Daphnia pulex: one gene and its partner. The protein of the gene in region 2 purifies or fractionates together with the protein of the main gene of each other region. This does not show direct contact. Links are inferred from orthologs where the notes say so. Each region holds a gene or a part of one and is shown on either strand. Other genes may lie near its edges.

Region 1 (4,440 bases), on a different chromosome or scaffold from region 2:
AAACTTGATTCAAATACGTCTTCGAGGCCACCAAGTTCATTGCGTGAAAGCAGTTGCTTGAAAGAGACCAAGTCGTCGGCTTGGATTGATCGGCTGTTCTTTTCTAAGTTCTTTTGGGCAGCAGCTTCTTCCTCAGCTTTGGCAGCTAACATAAGTGAAATGGATCTACGGCAGGCATCGGTAAATACTTCTACTAAAATCGGTGATCGATCCGAGAGCACCTATGTCGAAAAAGAAAATTGTAATGGGGGTTCACTCATTTTTTACCATTGATAACTTACCTTAAGGCAAAGCCCCAATCTTTCAGCATCGTCATTGCTAATTGGTTTCTGAGGCAGTCCCGAACGACCCAAATGAAGAATCGCTGCAATCACTAGCATGGCTTCGGCACAAAACTGGTTTTGCGTTTGCGGGTTCGACACTTGTTGAACAAAACGTAAGGCCAGCTTTGTCATAGTTGTAGCCATTGATGCACCAATGAAGAAATCGCCTTCCATCAGATATCTACAAAGAAATTTAATTATGAATGCAATGCTAAATGGAACGACATCAACAGAATTGACATACTTTCGAAGAGGAGGCCTTTCTTCTTTTTTGGCGGTTGTTACGGCAGCACTGAAGATAGACTGCGTAGCGTATGTACCATCTGCAGTTACCAAGCGGGCGCTAGAAGCAACAGGATTAGTAACGCTCCCAGTTCCCTGTGCTAAAGGATTTTCCGGATCGGTCTGCTCTCCTGCTGCTTTTCGGATTTCGTCATCCACGATTGGAATTTCGCCAAGCGATTGTCGCACTTTGGACATAACTGAACGAATGTCATCAGCCGAAGTGGCGTATTCGCCCAAGATCCAAATTGCTGCACGGTGCACCTTGACGGATCTTTGAAAAAAAAAAAAACATCTAATGTAGAATTGCTGCCAGTAAAAACGAAATGGAGTTATTTAAACTTACTTGATGGAAAGAAAGGCTTCTAAAAGTTTTTCGATGATTAATGGACGAAGTCCTTCGAACTTCTGAATCGCTTCGCGAACAAAGACCAAAACATCGGCGGCTGCTAGCTCGTTGGTGTCGGAAAGGAATTCAGTCAGTACAGGGATGACGGTCGCAGAAATGTCAGGAAACTTGATGCAACACGAGTGAAGAGTGCGCACCAAAAGTTGCCGATACTTTCCCGTATCTTCATGCTCGGTTGTGTTGTGCGTCTTTGTTACCTCCTACAAGATAATTCATCAATAGAAAATTATTCCTATCGATTTACCATTTCACCGGAATTCTTACCTTTTTCAAAACGAGCACGATATCTTCTATGTTTCGCGAAGACACTAAATCAAGTATAAGGGATAGTGTCTTCTTTCGTACTTCCAAATCTGGAGTAGCCAATACCCGCAAGATGTCCATCACCAATTCCTGAAATGAATTACATAATTAATATTTTGTAACATGTGAATGATTAAATTCAAGATACCTGCAAGACACGTTCTTGATTCGGCTGCTCTTTCAAGGCGATCAAACGATCCAGCACAATCAACTTCACATTATTGTCGCTTTCCTTTAAGATAATTTCGATGTAGCAACTAGCAGCAGCTGTTCAAGAAGAAGAGAAAACATATTAAGTTGGAAACCCAAATTAAATATTAGTGAATATGAATAATACCTTTAATAGCCGACGGTGCGGACGATAAGGTTACTAGAGTGCCAGCAGCTTCGTAGCGAACGGCCGGACTGGTGGCATTCAAGAGACTGTAGATACAACGAATGAAACGCGATCGCTCACTAGGATTGGCGTGACACACTTTGTAGATAAGTTCAACGATGACCAATTGCAGAATATCACCGAAGGAGTGAACCTAACAGATTTTGTTTTCCTTAAGTTTGTTTGGAAATTGGAAACCTTAAAATAGTTCTATTACTTGATCGATGCAAGAGGTAAGATAGGAGAGCGCCCTTTCTTGGTCAGCGTGAATCAACATCATGAATGCATTACGTTTACAGGACATGTCCTGTTCACGTTCTAGAAAATTGGCAATCAATTCTGGCCCGTCAGGAATGAGGAAATCAAAATTGCGGTAAATTGTGTAAATTGCCAAAACAGCATTGCGTCGAACGTAAGAATGTCGGTGCTCCAAACACGACCTGATCGATGGCATCAACGGTTCTAAGATTTCAGGTTCCTAAAAAGTAAATTACAAAAGATTAGCTTATCAATAAATTAAGGTATAAAAGAAATTGGCTTACCTTAAGCTTGCAAAGAAAACGTAATGTTGATCCTCTAATAAATTCATTTGGATGTTGCAAATCTCTCCTGTAAGCATCACAGACGAGAATCATTTCATGCAAGAGTTTTCCATCTGCTGAAGTCTTTGGAATGATTTCCCAGAATATCAACAGAAGTTTCTTGACATTATGATCCTGAAGTGGCAGCACAAATTTGACCACTGCCATGAGGATTCCTGGAATCTTTTCTCCATTTAAAATTATGTAAATGGCCTTTTTTAAAGCATCAATCTTGGCTTTGATATCTCCAATTTCCAACTCTTTTCGCAGCTGATCTGGAGGTGGATAGTCAGAATCTGGAGTACTGATGAGGGTATAACAAGGTTGCTCAGTCACAGACATCTGTAAAAACAAAACAATACATGAATCGTGAAAACTTGGACCGGTTTACGCTCGATGAAATGTTATTGTGACAGCGACCCGCAACCCATTCGAAATCTATAACGATGGTATTTGTTGAACACTGAATAACGATTCCAAAATGTCGGATGACTTGCCTTGATTTCTTTGTATTACAACGGCTTGTTGTGTTTTCTGTGTGAGCCGTAACTATATGAAACGAAGGAAATTCACGAAACCTTTGACGTTGCAGAATGTCAGAAAATACCCACGTCAGTCGGTAAGCGACAGATCTTAATTCGTAAAATTGACAACCACGCAGCCATGTTGCCATTATGAGTTTTAATTTTGACGTTGTTTTTTTGTTATTTTTATTCAAAATAGATATTCAGTCCCAGCTTGTGTTGGTTTCCAGATTTTCCAGGCATACTCTCTCTCTGTACCATCAAAACAAGAGTTTTTGTGGGTTTCCCGGATAAACAATGTGTCAACTGCCTAGTCATCGTCACCCATGTTTCTCTGAACCACTGTGAACTTCTTCGACACGTTTGAAGCAGGTTTGAAGACCAGCACCAGTCACGTCTCCATCTTCGGCAATGGTCAGTTTGTTTTCAATGTGTAAAGGTATTTTGATGGGAGTTAGTTAGAATTTTTCGTCCATTTAATCGGCAAAGCCTTTAAGAGACGATACAATTTGTTCTTAGTTATTTGATAATAGAAATGTTCGTTCGAAATAGAATGTGCAGATGGCCACAATCTCCATACCTTCACTGCTTCACAATATGCAGATTGCATATTAATCGTCTTGCCATTAATCACAGAAAATTAGAATTGGAAACGATTAGCATCCGAAGGTACTGGCCGTTATATCTCTATTTCGTAGTTACCAGCTTTAATACGTTTAATATGGTCGTTACTTCGTTGGTTCGCTCGGCTCACTGTAGCCTATAGCTAATCGATATTAAATATTTATGTTTTATGTTATTAGCATCAAATGTAATTATGTTTGTTCAGGATACTTTTCATTTATTATTTATTTTCATCGTTTTAAACTAACTGAGGCATTGAGCAAAAGGAATCATGGAAATTTCCGCGACTATCATTGTTGCGTCTACGATGATCTTTCCTTAAAATTTGTTTTTTTTGTGTTGGTAGGCCTTCCATCTAAAAAAAGTTCAAGTATTCAAGTAAAATATCTTTAAATTTTTAAAAAACGTTTTATAATGCAAACATGTTATATTTTCAACGTAAAAGAAATTATCTTATATTTAAAAAAAGCGTGTGGGTAGAATGAGGCCATCCTCACGATAGATAAACATCACGCTTTCCCGTAAGAGGGAAACTAGGGTCTTCTTCTTTTGACGCCACCGGCAATCGGAAAGACATTTGATTTTTTCCTCACAGGCACCACAGAGCATGATGTTACAGCTAGCTATAAAGAAAGACAACTGCTGTTAGTGAACAGACGGCTCCAAGTCATCGGCCAGTATACAAGACTTTCTGATTTTCGAGTTCATTTTTAATTGGGGTGTCGTCATTCGCTGTTGAGAGTTCATCATGCGATTGTTCCTTCTATTTTTAGTTTTTTTGTTTGTATCGCCTGTTTTGTCACATTTCAGTGAAGGTAAGGAATTCACTGAAAAGTCCGTTAATGTCGTAATTTTACCCTTCAAATAACCTTACTCGGAAACTCTCACGCTAAGTTTTCTGATAACTGTTATTGTATTGCTATCGCTTCCAAGTGCCTTGCCCCTTACCATCAAAGGGCGTTAACTGAAAATAATTTCAGTTAAAAAACACTTTGGTTGAGTTTTTAACTGTAAATTT
Region 2 (3,742 bases):
CGAAGTTGTTGGTAGAAAATTCTGGAACTCGACCAAAAAAAAACAAAAAAAAAAAAACACAACGATTCGTTACCGATCCTTTTCAATTGGGTCGATTAAATCACCGCTTATCGCTGATAGATCAACGGAGCGAAAAACTGATGCGCTCTGTCCAAGCCTGGAATTCAATATCGTTATAAAGACACGACGAGTGAAACGTTTTTTTTTTTTTTTTTTTTTTTACCTTTTAATCGACGAAAGATTGACGTTATCAATAACTTCGAAATGAACTGGCAAACTTTAGTTGGTGTAATGCTGTACTTAAGCTGTACTGTAAGAGAATAACGTTCTATCCGAATTAAAACCAAGAACATTTCACCTAAATTACAGTGCAACCTGAAAAATATTGGAAATTCACATCTCTGTTGTGATAGAAACAAATTTCTTTTGTGCTTTCATTCGTTTGTAAACCCGAAGTAAATGTCAGAAAAAGGCAAACTATTCTTTGATGAATGAAAACAATCTTTTAAAGATCGCTGTAAAATACCAAGCACACCATCAGGTTATATAATGCGTGTTACAAGTTACAAAAAATTTAATTTCTAATACGGTGGATTGATTTTAATTATTTATCTGCTATTTTGATAAAGATGGCATCAACAGAACAGATTTGTATTTTTTTTATAGAACAACTTGGAAAAGGAGAAAAATAATGATAAGGATGATTCAACGACCGGAATTTATTGTGGTTGAAATAGTTTAGATCCTTATTTCAGAAGAGACCATTTTAGCTGCTCCTTTGCCGATTGAAGCACCTAAAAAATCAGACGGAAATAATTAAAGAATTTATTGATCTTCTCCCTTAATTATAGTAATTTTTAAAATGTATATTGTTTAGTTTAGAAGTAGCTGCTGGAAAATGAAAATTTCAAACTAATTTCAATTTTAAATTTAATTAAATTGAAAAAAACCTTATTTAAATATCTGATTAAGTAGTTAAGTTATCAAACATACCTGGGCCACTGTCTGCTCCCCAATTGGAATGTCATCATTCCGAAGAGCTACTCTGTATGATATAGCAGTGGGATCTGATTCCAGAATAATCCTGCAACACAATAGTAAACTGGTAATAGTATCTTGATAAACTTGTCATGATTACATGTTTGAATGGAAACCATACCCAGAATCACATATTTCATCCAAAGCAAGCATAACCACATCAAGATTTTCCATTAGAGAACGCTTTTCCACATTCTTTCTAAGTATTTGGCTGATGGAATCATACAAGCAGTTTAAAACACTAACCAAGATCAACTAAATAAGGGGAAAAAAATTCCAATTTACTAATATTTTGTGAACAACTTGTGAGCATCTTTTACCTCATTTTCATGGCTACTTCCCATGACATAAAAATAAAGATCCACATTGCTTTTGTAGACACAAGTCATGTTTTCTAGCATAATGATTTCCGTGTTAGCTCGGTGTGTTTTGTTGAATAGGTTTTTTTCAAAAACCTTCTGTTCTTTTGCAGTGGGTAATGTGTTTGGGTCATAGTACTTTGCAAGAATACGTTTACCATCATTGTCAAGGATTGCAATTCCTTTAATTACATACAGAGAAGGTTCCTAAAGAAATTTTATAAAAATGTATCATTTTGTTGTTGGTCTGACACAGCTGATTAAAGAAAATGTAGTACTAGAAGTAGCTATATTACCAGGACATGGTTATCCATTTCTTTATACAATATGCAATACACCACAACACAAGAGCTAAGAGAAATAAGATGAACCGTTGTACAGACGGGTGAATGAAAATGTTCCGTTCGAGATGTTGATGAGTTGTTCTTACTTGACAACCGGTAGTCCTGTATGCTACGTTGGCAGTTTCTTTCGCGTAGTATCGCCATGGAGTACTTCAACTAGAGTACGATTCTTATGTCGGTAAGAAAATTATATTAACCATTAAAAAAATTAACTTATAAATTTTATAAATTTCCTATACTGATCACAAACCATTAACGAGATAAATCTATTTTTGTTTTAAAAGATACGGGAAAAAGCAAAAGGGCCAGTCGTTAGCGCCATCTAGGAACTGCTTGTTGAGTATAAAAGATAAACAAACTGGACAGTGCGGCAACGCAGGATAGCCAGGAAAGAAGAGAGGGGGAGAAGGACCTACCCAGACAAAGGAATAAGAGAGGGGGACTCAGTGCTGTTGACGATTGTGGCTAGGCGAGTAGCAATACAAAGCGTTCTTTGCAGCAAACAGGTTCACGTGTTAATTTCTATATCAACAGGTTATGGGCCCAGCTGTACGCACAGCTAACAGCTACTCTGTCTGAACAATTATTTTTTTTGTGTGTGTCCCCGGCTAACTGTTCCCAAGAAATTAGAAATTCTTTTCTGGAGTGATGGAGAAAGATGGCCGCCGCCATGTTGTATGGTGTCTGAATGGGAAAAACTACGCGTCTTGGAAATTTGGAATGAAGCTGGCGTTACAAAGTGTTGAGCTTTGGGAAGTCGTGAACGGGACTCAACGGCAACCTGCTGAAGTAAGTTTATTGATGATTTATTGTTTTCTTTATGTGTGTGATCCGTGCCTGACAACAACGCGATATGAGATGCCTATCTGTGGCGTGGTACCAACTATTAAATTGACAAACTTAGATCCCGGCGTGAGTGCTTAATCTCTGCCACTTGATTTTGTTTTTTGTGTGTTTGTGTTTGCTGGACATTTCTCTTTTTTTGTGTTTCTTTCTCAATCTGTTTGGTCACTCTGGCTAAATTCCATCATATGATGGTGGACAAGTGTGTGCTAGAGTTGCAAGCATCTAGGAGACAGCTGAGTGTTTTTCCACATCGAGATGATGTGAGGGAGATTCCACATTGAGATAATGTGAGAGGTATTCCACATCGAGATGATGTGAGGGAGATTCCACATTGAGATAATGTGAGAGGTATTCCACATCGAGATGATGTGAGGGAGATTCCACATTGAGATAATGTGAGGCTGCCATGGATATCACAAACCTAACCATCTTCTCGTTTTGTTACCACAATCAGAGACGCAATGCTGACCAGGTGATTGAAAATGCAGCTGATATAACCAACTGGAACAAGAGAAATACCACGGCAATGCAGAACATATTTGGCGCCATCAAAGAAGACCAATCAAGGATCCTGATGTCTTGTAGCACAGCCCAAGAGATGTGGATGAAATTGGAGACTGAGTATGAAGAAGATGCCGCAGACAATGCACCTCTATTGTGGACAAAGTTCTATGGATGCACATTTCGACCAAGCCAAAGTGTATCAAGCTTCCTGACTGAGTTGGAACAGATAGCATTCCGTCTGAAGAGCCTCAACATAGCTATTGATGATAATCAAATAATGGCAAAGATACTCATGTCGCTTCCTCCAGAGTTCCGTGTTTTTGCCTTTGCATGGGACAGCACGCCTGTTGCAGAGAAAACTCTCAAGAAACTGACTACTCGCCTTATAGCATTGGACAAGAGCCTGCGCAACGACGAAGAAGCAAAATCGACATCTGATACTGCCTATCTCAGTAAGCCGAACAGAGATGAATCACAGCACAAAGAGCAAGCACTTCCTGCCCAGTACGGTCAGAACAAAGGAAAAAGCCACCCTTCCAGTCAACATGCTGGTATACCGAGAACATGCTGGGAGTGCAACTCCACTACGCATGTTAGAGCTCAATGCCGTCAATACAAACGCCGGCGTGAGAGAGAAGGAGAAGAAGCGGA

What was found.
Region 1: the proteins of coatomer subunit zeta-1-like (region 2) and coatomer subunit beta-like fractionate together in Homo sapiens (co-fractionation; 8 studies listed by BioGRID and IntAct, with this or other methods). This does not show direct contact. The link is inferred for Daphnia pulex from reciprocal best matches to the Homo sapiens genes COPZ1 and COPB1.

What each region holds. Positions count from the first base shown.
Region 1 is NC_060020.1:2,118,515-2,122,954, forward strand, and holds the start of coatomer subunit beta-like, read right to left. Parts: upstream 2,924-4,440; 5' UTR 2,772-2,923; intron 2,617-2,771; coding exon 2,236-2,616; intron 2,172-2,235; coding exon 1,911-2,171; intron 1,848-1,910; coding exon 1,655-1,847; intron 1,585-1,654; coding exon 1,466-1,584; intron 1,408-1,465; coding exon 1,279-1,407; intron 1,215-1,278; coding exon 952-1,214; intron 880-951; coding exon 568-879; intron 505-567; coding exon 282-504; intron 222-281; coding exon 1-221. Other genes in the region: uncharacterized protein LOC124192347, read left to right, coding at 4,171-4,237. UniProt on the Homo sapiens protein: The coatomer is a cytosolic protein complex that binds to dilysine motifs and reversibly associates with Golgi non-clathrin-coated vesicles, which further mediate biosynthetic protein transport from the ER, via the Golgi up to the trans Golgi network.
Region 2 is NC_060024.1:1,294,613-1,298,354, forward strand, and holds coatomer subunit zeta-1-like, read right to left. Parts: upstream 2,076-3,742; 5' UTR 1,886-2,075; coding exon 1,694-1,885; intron 1,605-1,693; coding exon 1,359-1,604; intron 1,294-1,358; coding exon 1,160-1,293; intron 1,085-1,159; coding exon 994-1,084; intron 795-993; coding exon 747-794; 3' UTR 638-746; downstream 1-637. UniProt on the Homo sapiens protein: The coatomer is a cytosolic protein complex that binds to dilysine motifs and reversibly associates with Golgi non-clathrin-coated vesicles, which further mediate biosynthetic protein transport from the ER, via the Golgi up to the trans Golgi network.